Linked DNA regions of Nothobranchius furzeri. The protein of the gene in region 5 interacts with the protein of the main gene of each other region in a pairwise test. Links are inferred from orthologs where the notes say so. Each region holds a gene or a part of one and is shown on either strand. Other genes may lie near its edges.

The links.
Region 1: the proteins of rnf5 (region 5) and insig2 interact in binary tests that used the Homo sapiens proteins (3 or more experiments, as listed by UniProt). The two-hybrid records come from large-scale screens. The link is inferred for Nothobranchius furzeri from reciprocal best matches to the Homo sapiens genes RNF5 and INSIG2.
Region 2: the proteins of rnf5 (region 5) and slc38a7 interact in binary tests that used the Homo sapiens proteins (3 or more experiments, as listed by UniProt). The two-hybrid records come from large-scale screens. The link is inferred for Nothobranchius furzeri from reciprocal best matches to the Homo sapiens genes RNF5 and SLC38A7.
Region 3: the proteins of rnf5 (region 5) and ube2wb interact in binary tests that used the Homo sapiens proteins (3 or more experiments, as listed by UniProt). The link is inferred for Nothobranchius furzeri from reciprocal best matches to the Homo sapiens genes RNF5 and UBE2W.
Region 4: the proteins of rnf5 (region 5) and abhd16a interact in binary tests that used the Homo sapiens proteins (3 or more experiments, as listed by UniProt). The link is inferred for Nothobranchius furzeri from reciprocal best matches to the Homo sapiens genes RNF5 and ABHD16A.

The regions. Positions count from the first base shown.
Region 1 is NC_091754.1:36,998,986-37,002,979, forward strand, and holds the start of insig2 (insulin-induced gene 2 protein), read right to left. Parts: upstream 2,803-3,994; 5' UTR 2,641-2,802; intron 1,645-2,640; exon of another isoform or gene 1,516-1,644; intron 1,322-1,515; 5' UTR 1,295-1,321; coding exon 1,206-1,294; intron 957-1,205; coding exon 784-956; intron 1-783. UniProt on the Homo sapiens protein: Oxysterol-binding protein that mediates feedback control of cholesterol synthesis by controlling both endoplasmic reticulum to Golgi transport of SCAP and degradation of HMGCR.
Region 2 is NC_091749.1:57,963,287-57,967,502, reverse strand, and holds the start of slc38a7 (sodium-coupled neutral amino acid transporter 7), read left to right. Parts: upstream 1-1,413; 5' UTR 1,414-1,517; intron 1,518-1,982; 5' UTR 1,983-2,119; coding exon 2,120-2,371; intron 2,372-2,473; coding exon 2,474-2,527; intron 2,528-3,179; coding exon 3,180-3,324; intron 3,325-3,717; coding exon 3,718-3,862; intron 3,863-3,959; coding exon 3,960-4,058; intron 4,059-4,164; coding exon 4,165-4,216. UniProt on the Homo sapiens protein: Symporter that selectively cotransports sodium ions and amino acids, such as L-glutamine and L-asparagine from the lysosome into the cytoplasm and may participates in mTORC1 activation. The transport activity requires an acidic lysosomal lumen.
Region 3 is NC_091747.1:53,051,285-53,054,797, forward strand, and holds part of ube2wb (probable ubiquitin-conjugating enzyme E2 W-B), read right to left. Parts: intron 2,375-3,513; coding exon 2,272-2,374; intron 1-2,271. UniProt on the Homo sapiens protein: Accepts ubiquitin from the E1 complex and catalyzes its covalent attachment to other proteins.
Region 4 is NC_091745.1:74,550,525-74,554,723, forward strand, and holds the start of abhd16a (phosphatidylserine lipase ABHD16A), read right to left. Parts: upstream 2,804-4,199; 5' UTR 2,757-2,803; coding exon 2,655-2,756; intron 2,199-2,654; coding exon 2,142-2,198; intron 2,066-2,141; coding exon 1,999-2,065; intron 1-1,998. Other genes in the region: g6fl (g6f-like), read right to left, coding at 3,969-4,017. UniProt on the Homo sapiens protein: Phosphatidylserine (PS) lipase that mediates the hydrolysis of phosphatidylserine to generate lysophosphatidylserine (LPS). LPS constitutes a class of signaling lipids that regulates immunological and neurological processes.
Region 5 is NC_091759.1:8,560,398-8,564,450, forward strand, and holds the start of rnf5 (E3 ubiquitin-protein ligase RNF5), read right to left. Parts: upstream 2,802-4,053; 5' UTR 2,472-2,801; coding exon 2,266-2,471; intron 110-2,265; coding exon 91-109; intron 1-90. UniProt on the Homo sapiens protein: Membrane-bound E3 ubiquitin-protein ligase that mediates ubiquitination of target proteins. May function together with E2 ubiquitin-conjugating enzymes UBE2D1/UBCH5A and UBE2D2/UBC4.

The DNA.
Region 1 (3,994 bases), on a different chromosome or scaffold from region 5:
TAAGATTAATTATTTTTTCCATCAGTTTAGAGTGAGTGTGTCATCCTGCTACCTACCATTGAACTGGTCCCAAGATTACTGCACATACTGATAATTAGCATCAGGAAGTGTGTTAGGAGTTGCAGCAAAGCTTACATCTGGGTGACCTCTACTCAACGAATGCGGGTTTAAACGGACTTTAGCACTGTCAACACAATGCTGATGCCCTCGCTGGGGCCTCAAAGCACAGTACTGCTTCAGTTCCACAGTGTGTGTGTGTGTGTGTGCGTGCGTGCGTGTGTTGAAGCCCGACGGGCATGTTACACATCCCACAGGGAAATGTGTGTATGCATACCAGCTATGCTATTGCAAGCTTCTACAAGTGTGGCTGATGGAGACCTTCTAACAGCCTGAGACCTGCCCAGGGGACAGATCACATTCACGAATCCAGTCCTGAGCCCCATCCCACAATGTCACTAGGTGGTGAGGATTCCTCCCCTCTAGAGTGCAGGGGGTGTGATATCAGTCCAGTGTTTCTCAAATGGATCTGCCACCTTTGTGCATGTGTGTGTGTTGGGGGGGGGTCATCATGTTGCTGCTTCTATGCAAATGTTTGAAAAGTTGCTGTTAACTTCCCTAAAGAGAAGGGGACGCTAAAATGAGGGATGTGGCTCTGATATGATCGGTTTCTCGTTCACAGGGAGGGTTCAGTTCTCCCAGCAGGGGTGGGAGCACTGCTCAGGGCCGAAATACTTAGATGTGTTGCTCTCATCTACGCTAAAGCCTTTTTTTCTTTTTACACACCTGAGGCTGTGCCACAGCAGGGCGGCACCCACCATGCTGAGGAGAAGATGCTGCTGATGACATCTGGAGGGAAAAGAGTGACATTTCTCTGCACCTGAAGTAAGTTCAGCACAAGAGCCAGGAAGACGCCCACAGAGAACAGCATGCCCCCTCGTATAAACAAGTTGGTGGTCCTGGATAGCAAAGTGAAGGACATTTTGTTTTTATTGTGAAGTAAATTTTAATCTGTTTAGGGCACAGTGTTTGGTACAGTTTATGCTACAAACACGTTACACCCCACTGTTGTAGATCAGAGTTATTCAACTGTAAAACGGGCTCTTCAGGGTTCTCACTAGAAGAATCCAACTATGTAAATGCTGTGATGTTGGTAAGTCAGTACTAACAGGGCATTACAGACCCACCCAGCAACTCTGAAGGCTTACCTGTTGGTGATGGCTGAGATATACGGTCCCCAGGAGCACCGGTGTGACTCTTTGGACCCCGGCCGCTGCCGCCGATCACTGTTGCTCATGGTTGTCAGTCAGGGACATCCGTGAGACTGAACCGGGAAAACAAACAAAAAAGTGCATGAGCTCCTTTTAGAAGAGTTTAGTGTCTGCTGGAGCTCCTTATGTGTTATTGTTGTGTATTTTCTTTAAATTTGTGATTAGTTCACTTTATTTTTTTAAGCATTTATAAAGTTTATTCGTGGATTAATAGTTGTTTATTTTTGTAGTTTGTTTTGTTGTTTACCTTTGTAAGTCAGTCAGGAAAACAATCACTGGGTATTTTGTATAAGGAGGCACTGGTATAGGACCAGCATGCACTGGGGTGTGCGTATGGTTTTTTACCAGAGCAGGAGAAGCAGCAGGAAACAATGGAAAACAGGATCTGTGTTGCCAACCTGGAAAATAAACCTTGAAGAAAACGCAGCTTTCAAGTTTGGACCCTGAACAACTTCTGCCAGCGTACGAAACGTTACCACAGTGCAGCAGCGGCTTTTAAAGTTGGAAAATATGAAGTGAGTTGACAAACAAAGGAACCACCACTACAGTGTCCTTTCCAGACAAATAGGAAAAACACACAAACTAAACACTGCTGCGGGTCCTGTCTAGCACACAGAAAGGTGGCATGTGGAGCTCTGCACTTTTCAGCAGGACCACAGAAACGAAACACAAACGGTTTTCCCATAAACACACAACTGTCGGCCTGCTGTACCAAATTTTACCGAGTACGTTTCACGGTCTCTCCAAGAAAATGTGTCATAATAAATACCTAGTACACACATTATTATTATTAGTAGTAGTATTACTATTACTATTATTATTATTATTATTATTACAACAGAAGACACCAGACTGACTGGAAACGTTGCAGTTAAAATAATAACAGGAGTCAGACGCTGGAGCTGAAACTCTCCAGGTTTGATCAGTAAACAAGAGAACAGCGACCACCCACGCTACCGGAAGGTCACCGACTCTTTATTAATGTCCCACGTTAAACCGCAACACCGGACGAAGGTCGGCCGTAAACAGATGCACGTTAGTCTGTCCTCTCCCCCTAAATCTCACAGGTTTCTTCTTCGGCCTTCTAACACTTTCAGATGAGGTCCAGGGCAGAGGTCAGGAGACGCAGAAGGAGATTTGGACTTTTCCCTAGAACCGGAAATGCTGTCATCGCGTGTTTGACCTCAGCCTGTCAGCAACACTTGCTCCCATGAACCAAACTGCTGCAGCACTAAATAAATGACTAAACACGTCACTTAAATAAAAGTAAGTTAGGGAACAAGTGGAGGTAAAGCTAGCTGAGGCTTAGTTTGGTACATGTGAGCTAGCTGAGGTCCGTCCTGGAAAACGGGTTAAAGTCAAACCTCCTTACCTTATAATGGCTGAGGGTTAGGGGGTGGGCTGAACGCAGCGACACTCTCCAGGAGACATTTGAAGCTGTTCACGTGGAGAAACTACACCAGTATATATCCCCCTTTAAATAGAAGCTTCTGTCTCCGCTTCTAGCTACTTCCGGGACTGAGTTCCAGAAACCAATCAACATCGAGATCCGTGACGTAATCCCTATAAAAAATATCGTTGACATATCACGTGATCAAAGTTACACGCTCAGAATCAGAAGTTTTTATTGCCATATGTGTGCCAAGTCACAACATTAGGAAATTGCTGCGGTATTTTGGTGAAGAAGGTAAGATAGAAAAAAATTAATTAAGAGATAAGCAAATATAAGAACTAATAAAACACTCATGATAAAATTATTAATGTAAAAAGTAGCAAGAATTAGAGAAGCAGCTATCTACTCCTTGTAGGTATTAATCTGAGTGTTTACTGAATCATTCAACTTGAATGGTTCAAGCACAGCATCGGGTCACGTGACTGGGACCAATCAACGAGTGGGCTGCCCTAGCATTTTCATTCAAAAGTCCAACTGCTCGGATCGAATGACTGAAAATATCCCCCAAAAAACGCTTATGTAACCAGAATTTGCGTTTGGAAAACTCACAGGTTGTCTTGAACTTGAAAAATATTAAGAATAATCAAATTAATCAGGATTTGGTGGAGTTTCAAAACAATTATGGACAGAAACAAAAGCTTATTTTCTACAAGTAATGCATGTTTCACCAACGTCAACACAAACATTATTTGGATGACTAATTTATTATTATTAATTATTATTATTATCAATATTAATACTATTATTATTATTATTAATAGTTGTAGTGGTAGTAGTAGTAGTAGTAGTAGTACAAGTACTACTACTACTACTACTAATAATAATAATATTACTGGATTGTTAATAATAATAATAATAATAATAATAATAATAATAATAATAATAATAATAATAATGAGGTCCTCAGAGTCTGAAAGGCGCTATACAAGTATACAATATTGGCTCCTGTCATTGAGATGAAAGAATTAATTTATCACACAGGTTTTTCGAAAAACTTAGCTTACAGAATTTTGTTGAAAACTTCAGTTTTTTTAGATTGTTTTAACCCTAGTTCTTTTTTTAAGTGTTCCCAATGGGACGGGGACACAAGAGATTATTAATCTCATGTATTTCATGTAAAATAAATGTTTAATAAAACTAATGTTCTAACAGCACCTAATTTGACCCCACTGCCTGATGAGTTCAAGTGGAGATGATACAGATGTTGTCTATCTATGGTTTCATTTCCATACCAGTTCATTTAGGGCAGGCATATAATGACCAACCTTTTGCT
Region 2 (4,216 bases), on a different chromosome or scaffold from region 5:
AAGAGCTCGGCCTTTAGTCGTTCCTTTTCTTATCTGGATTTCATAATTAAATTTAACGGTTGTTTATTTTCGGGTTTTTCAGCTTTTTCACTGATCGGGATCCCCTAGCAAAGTAAAAAAAATCTGTTTTTCCTTTTTGAGCTCGATATCCTATTTATTACACGGAGTCATCTGTGAACTATTGTCCTACTAAATGTACACTCTTGACCTGCTGTGGGCTCATTCACCCATTTAAACAACAAACACCTTGAGGTAATCTATAATAGCTTCAGATGCAGGTTGAGATCTCTGTTGCTTTGTGGAAGCTTGTAGGAAAAGCTTTATTTTTTTATTAGATTTATGTAATAATGGTGGTGTAGCACTTAAAACTATGTGTGACAATATTTAAGTTTGGAATTACTGGATATATAGGTATTTGTCAGGTTATCTATTAGTTTAACCTGATCAGTCATTCAGTTCTTTATTGTTTATTTGTCTTTATTTACAAATGGCTCTTCTCTTATTTTCAGTTCTTTTCCTACAGGTTTTGTAAATCTTATGGTTTCAATCTAAGTGACCACAAGGCAGCAGTCTCAGCTGGTCTTTTGAAAACCCTGAATGCTAAATAAGCACCAAAGTCAAGAGTGAAACAAAAGTAAGCAGAGTACTGAAACACTATATCATTGACTGACTTCTGTTTAATACATTTCCATGTTTGTTAAAATATCATACCAATGAATTTGGATTGACAACGGCTATGTTTACTGTCTCGTCTCGGAAGGAAAAAGGTCATTCATTTGCTCAGACGTCTTGTTTCAGTGTTTGCATCTCTTCCTTGAAACTGGGAGACACTGATTATAATGTGAGTTTGATTCCCTTTGCTCATATTTCTGGAGCTTTGTCTCATGCTGGTGCTTCCTGTGTGATCTGAAGGTCATGGGTCATGTACACTGCAGAACAAATAAATCATTCGAAGAGTCATTTTTTTGTGTACTTGTTTTTTCACATACTATGTACGTATCACTTCATGCATCAGGGAATTTTGTACAAATTTTCATTCTGATTAGAAGAAACAACTTCACAACGACAAAAATTTAAAAATGAATGAAAATGATACAAAATAGCACAATGAGAAAACTAAAATGTAAGGAAGGAGATAATGAATAAAGTGATAATCAGTGGGTCCTGGCAATGGCAGAAATGGTAGAAAGAGCTGAATGAGGAGAGGGTAAGATGAAGGTCATGCTGAATAAAGATTGGATTTTATTTATGATAAAACATTTTTTGGTTTTGTGTCAGTTTTGACATCAAATTCTAGTAGCTCCAATCACTACAAAAATGCATAATTTTATTCGAAAATGTATCTTTCCTTTGTACGTTTTTGCATTAACAGGAACTTCAACTCCCAAAGTTCTCTGCGAGCGGAAAATTGACGGTATCGAGTCACGCGAGGAAGAAGATTCCTTCCGGTCCTCCACTTTGAACAAGCTGCCAAAACACATCGGGGGCTCAGTCTTTCCCCCAGATGGAGGTAGAAGGTAATGAAATAGTAATTTTCTGTTATTATAGTTTTATAATTTCTCTTAAAATATACAATGAAGTTTATTTGTCGTGATTAAATAAATACGCGGTCTGTTTTGAAAAATTATGGTTTCGTTTGTTCTCGCTAGCTTCCGTTGGACAGAGCTGCGATGGTGTTCTCTCAAATGAAATGAAATAAAAAAAAAACTCATCTCTCTTTTGTTGAAAAACGATGGGTTTACCACATCCTGCCTTTGTTCCCTTACATTCTCTGTCAGCAGATTCACCTCAACAGTTTAAAATCAGATCCTGTCAGCTAAAATTGCGTTTATTTGTGTTCGCATAGTGACGAAAAACGCAGGTGTGTTTAACTTAGACAGTAACTATAAAAGCTTTTACCTCTAAGATTAATTGTTTTAAAACCACTACACTTTCACTGTTATTTACCAACACTTTGGGGTCTAATCTTTGTCTCGTTACAGATCAACCATCAGCAGTAAATGGACTTACTGCTACTTGATAAGAACCTCCAGCTGCTTGCTGATCAATCTGCACATTCACTTCTATCTGCATCCAGGTGTCCTCACGCAGACTTTTAGGTTCACTGTACATTTTTCTAATGGCAATCAATACGGATATTGAGGACTGGGGTGGAATGGGCAGCAGTGACTCTGGGGAAAGAGCATGGCTCTTGCAGAGCCCCAGTGTGGATTCGGTCCCGCGCCCCGAGCTGGAGGAGAGAAACCAAAATGTGTCACCCCTGGGAGCGGTTTTCATTGTGGTGAATGCAGCACTAGGAGCAGGTCTGCTGAACTTCCCAGCAGCCTTCAGCATGGCAGGAGGAGTAACTGCAGGAGTGGTTCTTCAGATGGTGAGGACTCATCAGTCCTCCGTTTTGTTCAAGGCTTAATCTCTGCTGCTGTCAGCTGATGCTTTTGTGTTTTTGTTCAAATGTTCTGTTTCTGTGTTTCAGTTTATGTTGATCTTCATCATCAATGGACTTGTAATCCTTGGCTACTGCTCTGTGGTATGTACTCTTTTACTTAGTTTTACTTTTAATTGCAAATGGAACCCTAGACTTCTAACCCGTTTTGTCTGCCTTCATATTTTCTCCCACTTGTGGCTTAAAAGAAAAGATCCATTGTGAAACATTTTTTTCATTCTGTGCATCAAATGCAGAACTTTGCACACAAGTCAGGACTTTCAGTTCCTCAATCACTCAAATGTTCATGTGCTGAAACAAATGGTGGCAATAAAAAAACAGCAAATAGTCACTTTGATTCATTCTCTAGAGATAATTGAATGTGTGCAATGGACACAGAACATATCACCTGAACAATAACATAAAAACAAGGATCCTGCATCCTAAATTCCTACTTACTCATTAATTAATTTTAAGTTAAATAATTAACAGCGATGCTCTCCAGAAGAGCATCAATATGGCTGCTGCATGCTAAATGAGAGTAGGCATGCAAAATAAATGAGTGCTATTCCTCAGATGGAATACATTTTATGTCTGGACTGTTTTTTAAGCACCCTGGAAAAACTCCGTTAATGTCCCTCTCATACGGCATGTTAATTACATAACAATCAACGGAAAATAGTGAATGACAAACTTTTTGGTGTAAATTTGTTTGTACATATTAATAAACCATTAAAAATCATCTGGCTGGTTTCAGGTCAGTAATGAAGCCACCTATCAGGAGGTTGTTCGAGCCACTTGTGGAAAGGTCACAGGCGTCATATGTGAAGTCGCCATTGCTGTCTACACCTTCGGCACGTGCATCGCTTTCTTCATCGTCATTGGAGACCAGCTTGATCGCTGTGAGTGTATATAACCAACTCATGAGCTGCGTTGGTTTTGGTCACATCAGAGTAAAATTTGTAGAATGACCCTTTAATGGATTAAAATCAGCCTTTCCTCTGAGTTTACATGTTTTGCGTAGCAGCAAGTGAAACATAACGTCTTGTTCTGTCAATGACGAGGGCAAAGAGCATCGAGAATGACCCCACTCAGCATTTCTCTGTCAGTGTGCCTCTCATGTCACTCGGGCGTTCTTTCACCGAGATGCTGACTGAGTGGAAATCCTGATGTCTTTTACTTTATTTAAATTGTGCATGACTTTAATCATGTTTCAGTTTTCATTCTCCGTTCGTCCTCATCATGCTACGTTTCCCAGCCTCCCAAAGTCATGCAACTCTTGTTTACTGCTCCAGTGATCGCTGCAATGGTTCACAGCACAGACAGTGCAGCCGCCGGCCCCTGGTACACCGATAGAAAGTTTACCATCGTCGTTACTGCAGTCCTGGTCATCCTTCCTTTGTCTATCCCCAAAGAGATTGGCTTTCAAAAATATGCCAGGTAACGACATATCTAACAATCGAATCTACTGCTTTTTTAAACTCCGATTTATCATTTTTCTAACTTTTAAACTCTTTGCTAACCACATCTGCTGTAGTGCCCTTAGTGTGATGGGAACCTGGTACGTGACCATCGTGGTCATTGTGAAATACATCTGGCCGAGCAAAAACATGTCTCCAGATTACGTCTCAACCAGGTAAGTCCTAGCATATATTTCCATCCTGGAGTTTGTAATAAAACAGCAGCACTGTCCGAACCCTCTGCATCAGGCGTATCTATTTTTTTTATTTTTATGTTTGCAGTTCATCTTCCTGGACTGCAGTTTTTAACGCTATGCCCACCATATGTTTTGGT
Region 3 (3,513 bases), on a different chromosome or scaffold from region 5:
CCATAAGGTAGACACAAAAGTTTTTCCACTTAAGTTTAGAAAAGTGGTCCTCTGGGCTTTAGTGCCCCCGCTGCAGAACTCTTAACAGATAGGTGCCAATATCGGATCATCTAGTGATGCTGAATTCAAACATTACTGTCAAAACATCATAAAAGAAAACTGAAGCTAAGACAGTGTAAGAAATGAGTGACCCTTTCAACTAGGCTGGATAAGGCTTCAGAGAGTGCAGAATGCAGCGGCTAGATTCCTGACAAACACCTCTTGACGCTGTCACATTTCACCTGTCCTTGCACGCTTGCACTAGCTGCCGGTTAAATATCGTATCCAGTTTAAGGTCTTAACCTTAGTTTACAACATCCTGAATGGTCAAGCCTCTGCTCATCTGTCAGAACTGCTCATGCCTCATGTTCCACCCAGAACCCTGAGATCAGCAGATCATTTACTTTTGTACATCCCAAAAATGAAGTATAAATCTCGTGGGGAGCGGGCCTTTGTGTTCGCTGCTCCTAAACTTTGGAATGCTCTCACCCTTAGTGTTCGACAGGCCCCAGAACTGGGTTGATTCAAGTCTGTACTGAAGGACTACTTCTACTATTTAGCTTTTGATCAATGACCAAGCTTTTATTGTTATAGAATCTTCCCTGTTGAAATGTGCTAACCTTTTAGCATTGTTTTTATTGTGACTTTGTTTTTACTCTAGTATGTTTCTTTTACATTTTTAGGTTATCCCTTTTATCTCTTTTATGATATTTATCTTGTTTTTATCTTGGGGTTTTCCTTTTACTACTACTGTACAGCACTTTGGTCAGCTGTCATGCTGTTTTTAAATGTGCTTTATAAATAAACTTGGTATGGTATGGTATGGATAAAGATCCACAAACGTGGATCTACAACAGCTTTTCTTTGAGCCTCTATTGGCGCTTACACATTAGCGTAGGTACGGGCCCATAAGGTACCGAACGGCACCGGAATTTGGTTTCACACACCGGTCCGATTAGCGTTTTCAGTGCCGAGGCGACTTTTTCCCAGACCTTCTCCCCAGCGGTCAGACTGGGACCGAGGCGACACTACGGACTGACTGGCCGGCTGAAATTACGCCTACCGCCTCCGATCTGCGAGAAGAATCAGCCAGCCGGGGGTTCCTGCATGTGCGGTTCATTTTCATGCTGGATGCTGTTGAGTTAACTTCTGTCTGTTGCACGGAGCTGCCGATCCGGAGCTGCTATTAAGTGTGGGAGCGGGAGAAAAGAATAGCTTTGTTTGAGTGTGTGTGTGTGCATGCATGCTCCCATTCTCCGCATCGGAGCTCTTGCCCCTCGCAAGCAGACAGCTGCTCAGGGGAGAAATCAGGGGGTGGGCGGCACAAGATTATGAGGGGACACAGAGTAAATTAATAAAATAATGTGGTTCAGAGTCTCCAAAAGCAACACAGCTCATGTCCGCCTTTTGGTACCTTATGGAACGGACTTTCCCGCGCGTATTAAGCGCCCCCCACAGGCTTGGGGATTTCCGCATCTTGAGAAGTTCCTCGGATTAATATGTAAACACTACACCGACCATACCAGCCCAAACTCACGCCATCCTGCCCGACCAAACCCCGACCGTTACGACGCTAGTGTGCAAGCGCCATATAAAGCACATGACACTTTGTTGGGGTCCACAATGCCCTAGGAGCTCTGATAATGAATATTAAATGAGCTGCATGCTGATTGGCTGGTTTAATGGCTCAATGACACTGCTCAAGCTAGAATCTCTGTACAGCAGTGTACAATATCCATATTATTCAATAGAAAGCTACAGATCTATCTGGCATTCATTATAAGTTTGGATATACCCTGTACATCCTGGAACGTTACATGTGTTTTCCCTTTGTTTATAAGAACATTAGCAGTAGCTCGGGCTAGCATTTTTCTGCAGTTAGCATTACTGAGATCAAAGTTTATTCATTGCGGATGTTGAAGTGGGTTGGAGCATGCTAATGTAGGGAGGTGCGTCTATGCTTATGACGCGTTAAACCAGTTTTTGTCAGGATGAACCGTTTCTCCGTGACCATTACAACTTTACTAATTTACAAGTTGCAGACTTTTTGGTACGCTACATAGACATCTCAAGTTGCCTCTATTCAACAACAAGGTAAAAGTGGTTGTTGAATTGTAGGACCCATTTAAATATGCGAACACACACACACACACACACACACACACACACACACACACACACACACACACACACACACACACACACACACACACACACACCCTTTGCTCTTACCTGAGGTGAATCAAAAGGATATCGACTACTAAATTTGAATAGCAGCTGAAATTTCTCTCCTTCATAGAGTGTACCGGGCGCTCCCTCCATATCTACAATCCACCTAAAAACAAAAAAGGACAATGATGACTAAAACATTCCCCCGGTGCCCCAATAAAGAACACAGGTTACCCAAATGTTTACTGTCGAATATAAACGTTACAGGGGTGGTAATCATATTTTCTGAACCATTGGTATTGAAGCTGCTTTACCAAATCAGCACAGCAAGTTGGCCATTCCATATAAACACAGTCAAAAGACTCTCATACCTCCGTCGGCTAGGCCACGCCCCCCAATACGGGAATGCGCATTGCCAGAGTAAATGGGAGAGCACAAATCAACAATCACATTTTTCTATGCCTAAACATCTTTGGTGTCTGTGACTTCAAATGGTGTTTTTTCTTTTTGGGACTCTGGTAGTTTGTCCTTAAGTTGAAGTGGTAGCAGCTGGCTGTTTCTCCTTATCTGATATTAATATTATATGTGCTTGGTCTCGTCTTGGTAACAAAGGCATTTTTACTTGGCCTTTAAAAATGGGACCCAATGCTTGACACAGCTTTAAAGGGTTGGATTGGGGGGTTAAACTACGAAATAGTTCCCGAGCGCAGCCGTGTCTGCAGCACACCGCGCCTCCCCACACAAGTGTGTGTGACAACTAGGGCTGCACGATATTAGGAAAACCGGCTATATTCGATAACAATGATTAAATTGCGATAACAATATTACTTGCAATAAATAAAAACTTATCTCATGAACAAAAATAATCAAAAACAAAGAAGAAAAAAAAAAACGAGAAAAGCAAAAGATGTGAGGAAAGGGAAAAAGATAATGAACAAGAAAAGGTAATCAGTGGATCCCAGGAAAAGCAGAATCAGCAAAAAGAGCAGAACAAAGCTAACTCATGTGTTTGCTAACCATCAAAATTAAGTACTGTCCGCCTCAGGGGCGGGCATCTAATCTATGAGAACCCACCCTTTTGGCCAAATGGGTGAAGAGCTCTATTTGATTTGTTAAAAAAAACATCAGGCTTCCATTTGATTGACAGAATGCATTATGTGTAGCAAACATTTGAGCTGATCATTCATTGCGATATTTATCTGTTCTTTGTGATATGCATATTGTGCAAGCTGATATCGCGATAACAATATATTTACGATATATTGTGCAGCCCTAGTGACAACTATGGGACTTTAATCTTTAATA
Region 4 (4,199 bases), on a different chromosome or scaffold from region 5:
ACCAGGAATAAGCTCCTGCCCTGCCATTACCTGCTGCAGCCTGTGGCGAGCTCCGGCCCAGGAATGAGCTCTCCCCGTCCGCTGTGAGGGTTTGAAACACCGCCATCCTCTGCTGGAGACCGTGGCGCGCTGCTGCGCCCTGGTTGTTTATTCTGTTACTGTTACCAGTACTTGTTTTGCAATGTGAAACGCTTTGTCTCAGATTTTGTAAGAAAAATAATAAAATTTACCCTAAAATGCGACTTATAGTCCAGTACGATTTATATATGTTTTTTACTTCTTCATTATACATTTTATGGCTGGTGCAACTTATACTCCGGAAAATACGGTACTCAATCAGAGAACAAGAGCCAATAACAGTAAGTATGAAAAAAAATGAAAATGTTTTTTAAGCCATTGGTTGCAAAAATGTGAGCCTTAACGGACTTGTTATATCGGAGGTTTTTGATGCAGTCCGATATAATCTCATAGTGTTTTTGGGCCGATATCGGAATGGGACATCCGTAGTAATCTTACTAAATTACATCTACAAACCCCTTTCAGAATTTAAACATGTGAATTTAAGACAGCACACCACGACGTAAAAACTATATCATGTTAAACATTTTTTTCTTTTAATAACAAAGATAAGTTTAACTAAATTTAATGTGTGTAATGGGGTTAGGGTTAGTATATCGTATCACACTCTTCTTCGTATAGTTAATATATCGTATCTCCAGTTTCTTGCTAATACAAACTCCTCATCTGAAAAAAATTATGGATTATTGTGAAAAATAATTAGATAATTTCTGTATATATATATATATATATATATATATATATATATATATACATATATACATATACATATATATGAAACAGGGAAGCCAGAGATTATTTCTCTCAGAGTTTTCCCACAAGGCATTTATTCACATAGAGACCACTGCAGGTGTGTAGAAAAAAACCCCGAGTGAACTTGGTCTTTAAATAAACAAAATCCACTGTTATGGATATATTACAATTTCATTTTATATATATATACATATATATTTATACATATATGTATATATATGTATATATATACACACATATATATAATATATATATATATACACACACACACACATATACATATATATATATATATACATATATATATATATACATACATATATGAATATATATATGCATATGTGTATATATATGTATATATATAAAATGAAGTTGTAATATATCCATAACAGTGGATTTTGTTTATTTAAAGACCAAGTTCACTCGGGTTTTTTTTCTACACACTTGTATAGTGAGCTAGATCAGAGAGGAGAAGAAGCCGGCAGGATCTGGAATTTTATTTTCTGGTATTCGGCTATCTCGCCTCTGATTGGCTAACAGAATGAATGAATGCCTTCATTGTCATTACACAAGTACAACGAAAATTCAAAGTACTCTCTCCTAAGAAGCATGAAAAATAATAATAGTAAAAAACATTAAAAGTAGAACCTAGCTAAAAAATAAGTTAATTAAAAAAACACATGCCACGTGTACACAACAGTCACGTTGCTTTCGTCTTACACAATTCAATATTTGCTCGCTGTTAAGCCCTGTTCGTAAGAGATTGTGTCGGCTGTAGATGGTGTAGGCTGAGCAGCACATTATTGTGAGTAGTAGCACTTCACACACACAAGTACCCAAACAAAACAGAGAAAGAGAGAGCGCTGAGCTGCTGCACCTGTGCGTGCCACCATCTTGAGCCAACACTGCAACAAGACTCTTCCATTGACTTCATTTGCTTTGCAATGTTGCGGTTTTATCTCCACAAATAACACTACTTACTACTTGGCCCCTCAATAAATATTATGGCCCTTTTATGGCCCTGTACTCTGACAAATCCTGGATCTGCCACGCAGCTTCAAAGGAAAGTAGTTTTCCTATAAATCAGTAACGACTTAAATTCAAATAGTTTTGTCCGTTGTTAAGCACCAGCAGATAGTGAAAGTGAAAGCCTGTAACTGGACCAACCTTTTCTGTACAGATACCCCAGGAGAAGAGGGGAGCTGTAGTAGGACAGGGACCACAGCACTGAAGCCTAAAAAGCGAGGACAAACTTAAGTCTAATTCATTTAAAATTCTTCCATCTAAATCACATAGAATGTAATACAGACCCAGCCAATAATGCTGTCGGTGTGCTTTTCCAGACCTCTGGGTCGGTAGTTCAATCCCTGTTAGAGAAAACCGTATTTAGTGTTTTTATAACTGAGAACAACAGACATTAGCTTAGCTAGCATAGTCATGTCACGCAGACAGCACATTCTGGGTATGTAGAAGCTTTTTTTAACATTTTAGAAGATTTTCAGCCCTTGTTGTTTTGCATTTGTTCTCTTTTTCCATTATGTGTTTCATCACACTCTCTTTTGGCTAACCTTTGTTCTCAAAATGTCAAAACAAGAAAACGTAAGCTAATGTTAAAGTGAATATTTTACAGCGAAGGTAAAACTGGCAGACATTTTAAATAGATAAATAAGAGTGTTGTTATAGTTTCATTCATTTCAAACTGTCATTCCGGGGTTAGCACTAGCAAGGATTCAATATCAGCTAGAAAAGCAGCGATAAAACTGAACACCTTTCCAGTCTCCGCGGTTCTAAAACAACTCAAAACATCATCTGTCCGTTCCTACCCTTCTGGACGACCTGCTTTCGGTTCGAGGCTGGTCCGGGGGCCGGTGAATTCGTTGAAGATGAGGCCCAAAAACACAGCGCACCCACAGCCAGTCCGCCATTGCTCCACTGCGATCTCGACGGAAGCCCGCGCCGACCACTCCCGTCGAAACTGCGAAAGCGCTCCGACATTCGGCGAGGTGAAAAATGACAATCCAGTAATTTTAGAAACAAAAGTTTCCTTTTATAAAACTATTCTCTGTTACACACACAAATACAGGAAGGTGTGATCTGAAATGCTTGGCAACAACAACAGCAGCAGCAATAATAATAATAATAATAATAATAATAATAATAATAATAATAATAATAATAATACATATTTTTGCACTCTAGTGAATTTGTGAGCTCCACATTGTGCCATGGTCTTCTTCTTCTTCTTCTTCTTCTTCTTCTTCTTCTTCCCAACTGGGGTGCAGTGGTACCAGTACTCTAACTGCTATTCATGTCAATATGAAATAAACAAAACAAAATAAACAATAATACAGAAAGGTTCTGTAGGTTGGGGCTAGAAACCATTGTTTAAGGCAGGGGTTCCCAAATTGGGGGTCGGGGCCCCCAAGGGGGTCCCCACAAGATTGCAGGGGGTCCCAACAATTTTGTCTTTGCTATGGTTGTGTGGTTAACAAGATTTCATTTGAAAAAATAACATTTATAAAATCCCAATAACATAATGACAGAACTCCAAGTATAAGTTATACCTCTGTATAAAGATAGTAACTGGTCACATAATGTGTGTATGTGTGTAGGACTTGGGGTTGGGGGTCCTGGCTTGTCTTGGACACCAGCAAGGGGGTCCTCAAAGAAAATATTTTGGGAACCCCTGGTTTAAGGTACAAGCTTGTGGTTTGTAACCTCAAGCCTTTCTGTACATTGTAAAGTTACCTTCTCAGGGGCCTGGTGGTTAGTGTCCACACTGGGACTAGGAGATCAATGAGTTAAAATCGGGACCCAGTGCCTCCCTGCTAGACATTCAGCTTTAAGAGGTTGGGTTGGGGAATTGAATAGCCAAATTGTTCCAAACCACTGCTGCAGGTCACCACTCCCTACAGGGATAGCTCAAACGTGGAGATGTAATTTCAACAGTGTGTGATAACGACTAATGGGACTTTATCTTTAAACAAAACTCAGTGGGGTGGCCAATCAGACTCAAAGGGTGGCATGTGCTATCCTTGGGAACTCTCTGGACACGCCCCTGCAAAGAGCAGCTGCTAATGTAGATTAAAAACCCAAACAAAACCACAAGCATTTCCAATAAACATAAAAGTTTTTATTCAAGTCCAAACTCCGACGTTCCGTTGTTCACAAAGGCCTTTGTTGCAGCTGTGAAGTGAGAGAATGTGACAGGTGGATGAGGATGAAATGTGGATAGGAGATCAGCCCTGACACTGCTCGTACCTGAAAACAGAGAACAAAGACAAACTCGGTGAAAAATCTCCCGTCCCCCAATCTTTTTATATTTTTTCTTAAACACAAACAGAGGCAGCCCACGCAGCAACAACACA
Region 5 (4,053 bases):
AGACATTATTTAATGTGGATTAAAGGAGATTGGGTGAGCCTGATCTGATTAAATCAGCCTGTAAAAAGATGAGAGAGAGGAAGTACTTACTTGGTGAAGACAGGGCCAGCTGTAGAGAGAGAGAGACGGGATTATTTTACATTTTCACAGCAGCTCAGATCTGTGACATTTCCTGAGCAGATTCATTTTTTTGGGATTAGATTAGTCTTGAAAAACCTCCTAAAACCAGTACTGCTCCCATTCGTTTGTTTTAATTGGCTCCATCTGTCATCAAAGGTTGGAGAGGCCAACCTGCTAATGCGATGTGGGAATAATGTTGGTGCTCCATGATTTTGGAAGAAATTCCCAACACACACACACACACATACACACCCACACCCACAGATGTGTTGAAGAGCATGTCCACAAAGTCCCCAGGTAGCATAACGCTCCCTCCTAAGGAAGGTGTTTTACTCAACCCTCCCGCCATCAATCCTGCTCTATGGTCAACTTTCCTCGCAGGGTCACCCGTTAGGACAGTGGGAGGGTTAAAAAGTCCTTGGTTTGTTTACTGACTTTTATCATTTCCAAATAAGGCAGGGATTTGGATTAGTTAATCCTGTATTCACGACTGCGAAGTACTCAAACCGAGTTATTTAAATGACGTCATGTGAAAACAACAGAAACCAGCTGAGTCACATGACCTGATGGGTGTGTGTGTGTGCTCCTGTAAACACAAAACAGCTGATCAAAGTCCAAAGGCAACAGACACAGAAACGGGTTAAATCGACCAGAAAAAGTGAATAAAGATGTGATTTCTGCAACCTGAATTGACATTTTAGTCGACACAAACTAACATTATCTGCTAAACTCATTTGTTTTATGATTTCAGAACCATTTGAACACAAAGACCAATTAAGAGCAACAATTACAGGGACTTCTAACACATTTGAACTTTAACCCCCTGTGTGTTTTAATTAACTGTACTAATGCGCTGCTGTAAGATTAATCTGAAGTTGCAGCAGATTAACTGATGTCAGCTCTTGTCCTTCTTGCTGAAAAGTTTCATCACACTGCACTTGAGTCCCAGGAGCAGAAGGACCGACGTAACATAGCAACTGCATCGCTCACAAATGTGCAGCAGGAAATTATCCCAATGACCAAAAAATGATCAACATAATACAGAACATCTAAATTCCAGATGTCCAGAGTCCAGAAACGGGTTTTCTAGCCAAAGACTTAGAAACATTAACATTTAGATAAACATGAGGGAATTTACGGCTCAACTATTCCCCCCCCCCCCTTAGACAAAGTCCAAAGTCAAAGAGTGCATGAAATTATGCATAAATAAGACGTGTGCATAAAATAGTTGCCAGATTTTTAGCTCTACAAGTCTCTACAAGTTTGTGGTTACTTCGGTTTGGAAAATGATTCAAACACAACTGTTGTGCACACGCTTTAGAGGCAAAACTGCAATGTCACCCAGAAAGGATGCTTAAAAGTCCAGATTTAGGAAAATGCATAATAATAACTGCAGTCAAACACACACACACTTCTGATCACAGTGACCCTACAGTTGACCTCAATCCTACTTGTTGGCTATAAACTCCCACTAGCCTTAGCTTAAGAGATCATTAGTGCACACAGTTCGTGAATCACGCGCGCGCGCGCGCACACACACACACACACACACACACACACACACACACACACACACACACACACACACACACACACCTGTGATTGTGTGTACATTTTCAACAAGTTTTCAAGGTCAGGTTTTGTGCAAGTTTCTGTGACACTGATAGAAGAAAGCACTAAAAGCAGCTTTTAGGTACAGAAAAGATGCATCCTAAAAAGTAACAATTTTATGAGATTTTTAGATTTGCTGGCATGTCAGATGTTCCAAAATAAAAAAAAAAACAATGATCTCACCAAAAAAAAGCCTGAATTTTTATTGTAAACGTGACATAATTAAGTGATTTTAGTCAAACTCAGAATGAACTGATGAAAAAGTGGTTTGTTTTTGTGTCTCGCAGAGCGGGGCGGAACTAAATCAGATAACATGATACATTCATCCTTTCACACCAGGAGTACATACATTCATCCTTTCACACCAGGAGCCACTAAAACCAGCTGGCAGTAAACGGACACCCAGCACAGGAACAGTGAGCCATTTTGGCCGCTGTCGCCTCGGATCAGACGGGACGTCGCGGGGCGTGTCTCTGCCATCGACTACATATCGGTAAACCGAGGCCAAACAAACGCATGAAAACCGTTTCATACCAGAACAAGTGTCCGCACATGCTGATGACAGCGTCCCTGGCTGTGTCCAAACAAATGTTGCACTCGAACGAGGCTCGGTCCCGTTGGCTGTCGCCGTTGCCGCCTCCATCCGGTCCGTCTCGGTCGTTGCTGCTCTCTCCAGCCGGGAACCCTTCTTTGCTGGCCGGCCCACCGTCACTCGAGAAGCGGGGATTCGTGGCCGCCATGTTTACTGACCTGGTTTAAGAGCGTAACACACCGAGCCAACTCAACCCAACAGGGCCGGCCCGAGCTAACGTAAACCGCTAGTCAGAGGTAGCTGCTGCTGCTGCTACAAAGGACCTTTGGACGGAGCGGACCAGCCCCGGTGGCGCTCCCGTTAAAAGCGCCCGACTCCGTTTCCCCTGACTCCGTAGGCCGGGGGCGGGCATTAGACACGAGGAAAGGGGCGTGGCCATAACAAAAGCAAGTTCATATTTTAATAGTACATTCGACACCATTATTTTGAAAGAACGTAAAACAATCTAATATGTAATGACTCTTGTTTTATTTTTGTGCAGACAGATTTTTTTTCTTACAGCTTTTTATAAAGAAGTTTTTTTTCTTTCTGCCTCTTCTTTCTTTCCTATTCATTTTCTCTCTCCCTTTCCTCATATTTTTTTTTCTAATTTAAACATAATTTTTAAAAAAATCTTTATATCTTAATTATTTGTTTTTGTGAAGCGCCTTATGATTTTTATTTTGAGAGGTGCTACATAAAAGATGTTTTCTTTCTTCCTTCTTTTAGTAATTGTTCCCTACCAACACAGGTCTGTTGCAACAACGTAGTCACAACGTATTTTCTGACACCTTGTCATGCGAGTCCAGTATTGTAGCTTGGCTGTCTGGTAATAGACCCTTTTACTACCTACGTCATCAAAAGTTGCGCGTGCAGCCTGGCAACGAGAGTGAAGGCTTCCTCATTCATACTCAATACTAAAACAGCGTTTTAAACCCTTTGTTTTGAAGTTCTGAGCACATAAAAATGTCGGGTTGTTGCGTGTATGGATGCCAGAATCGCTTCTCTTCAAGCACTGGACTGAAACTTTACAGAATTCCAAAGGGAGCACATCCATTTCAACAAAATCAGAGGCGTCTGTGGCTAGGAAGGACTTCTGCCTTCAAGATGCAAAACTCAGAGTCTATGTGGTGATATTTTACTTTCTGTACGTGGCCACAGACAACATAGTTGTATGCATCTAACGATTTGTATGCCCGTAGCTTCTCACGTGTGTACTTACTGGGCCTCTCCACTAAAAACGTATATATATCGGGCCACTGGATATCTGGCCACGCACCTACATCTTCCACCCATTCCGTAATGCCTCAGGGATCCGGGAGTCTGTTGCGATTCGTTAAAGTGAGTTTAATAATATAACATTCAAGATTTGCCGGTGATAACCCCGCAGCGTAGCTTGATAAAGCCTGACACAACGCCATTCTCTGTTGCCAAGCTGCGCGCGCCTTCTCGCTGACGTCATATTGTTTACAAACAGTAAAAGGGTCTATTTAGGAAGTGTTATCCTGTCAAGGAATTAATTGAGCTCGGCATCTGATGGGTTTGTCTGTGGTGAGTACAAAGTTTGGTAAAAGTTTTTGAAAGTGTTGTTTATTCTTTCAGGATCATAAACTATATTCGATGTTGCAGGAACGTCGTATGTTACGTAGTAGCGACTTCCAAAGTGAAGTTCCGCTACGACGTTGCCAGAACGTCACATAGAGCATTGCTGGAAGGTTGTCGCGACATATCCACAACTTCACTGCGATATT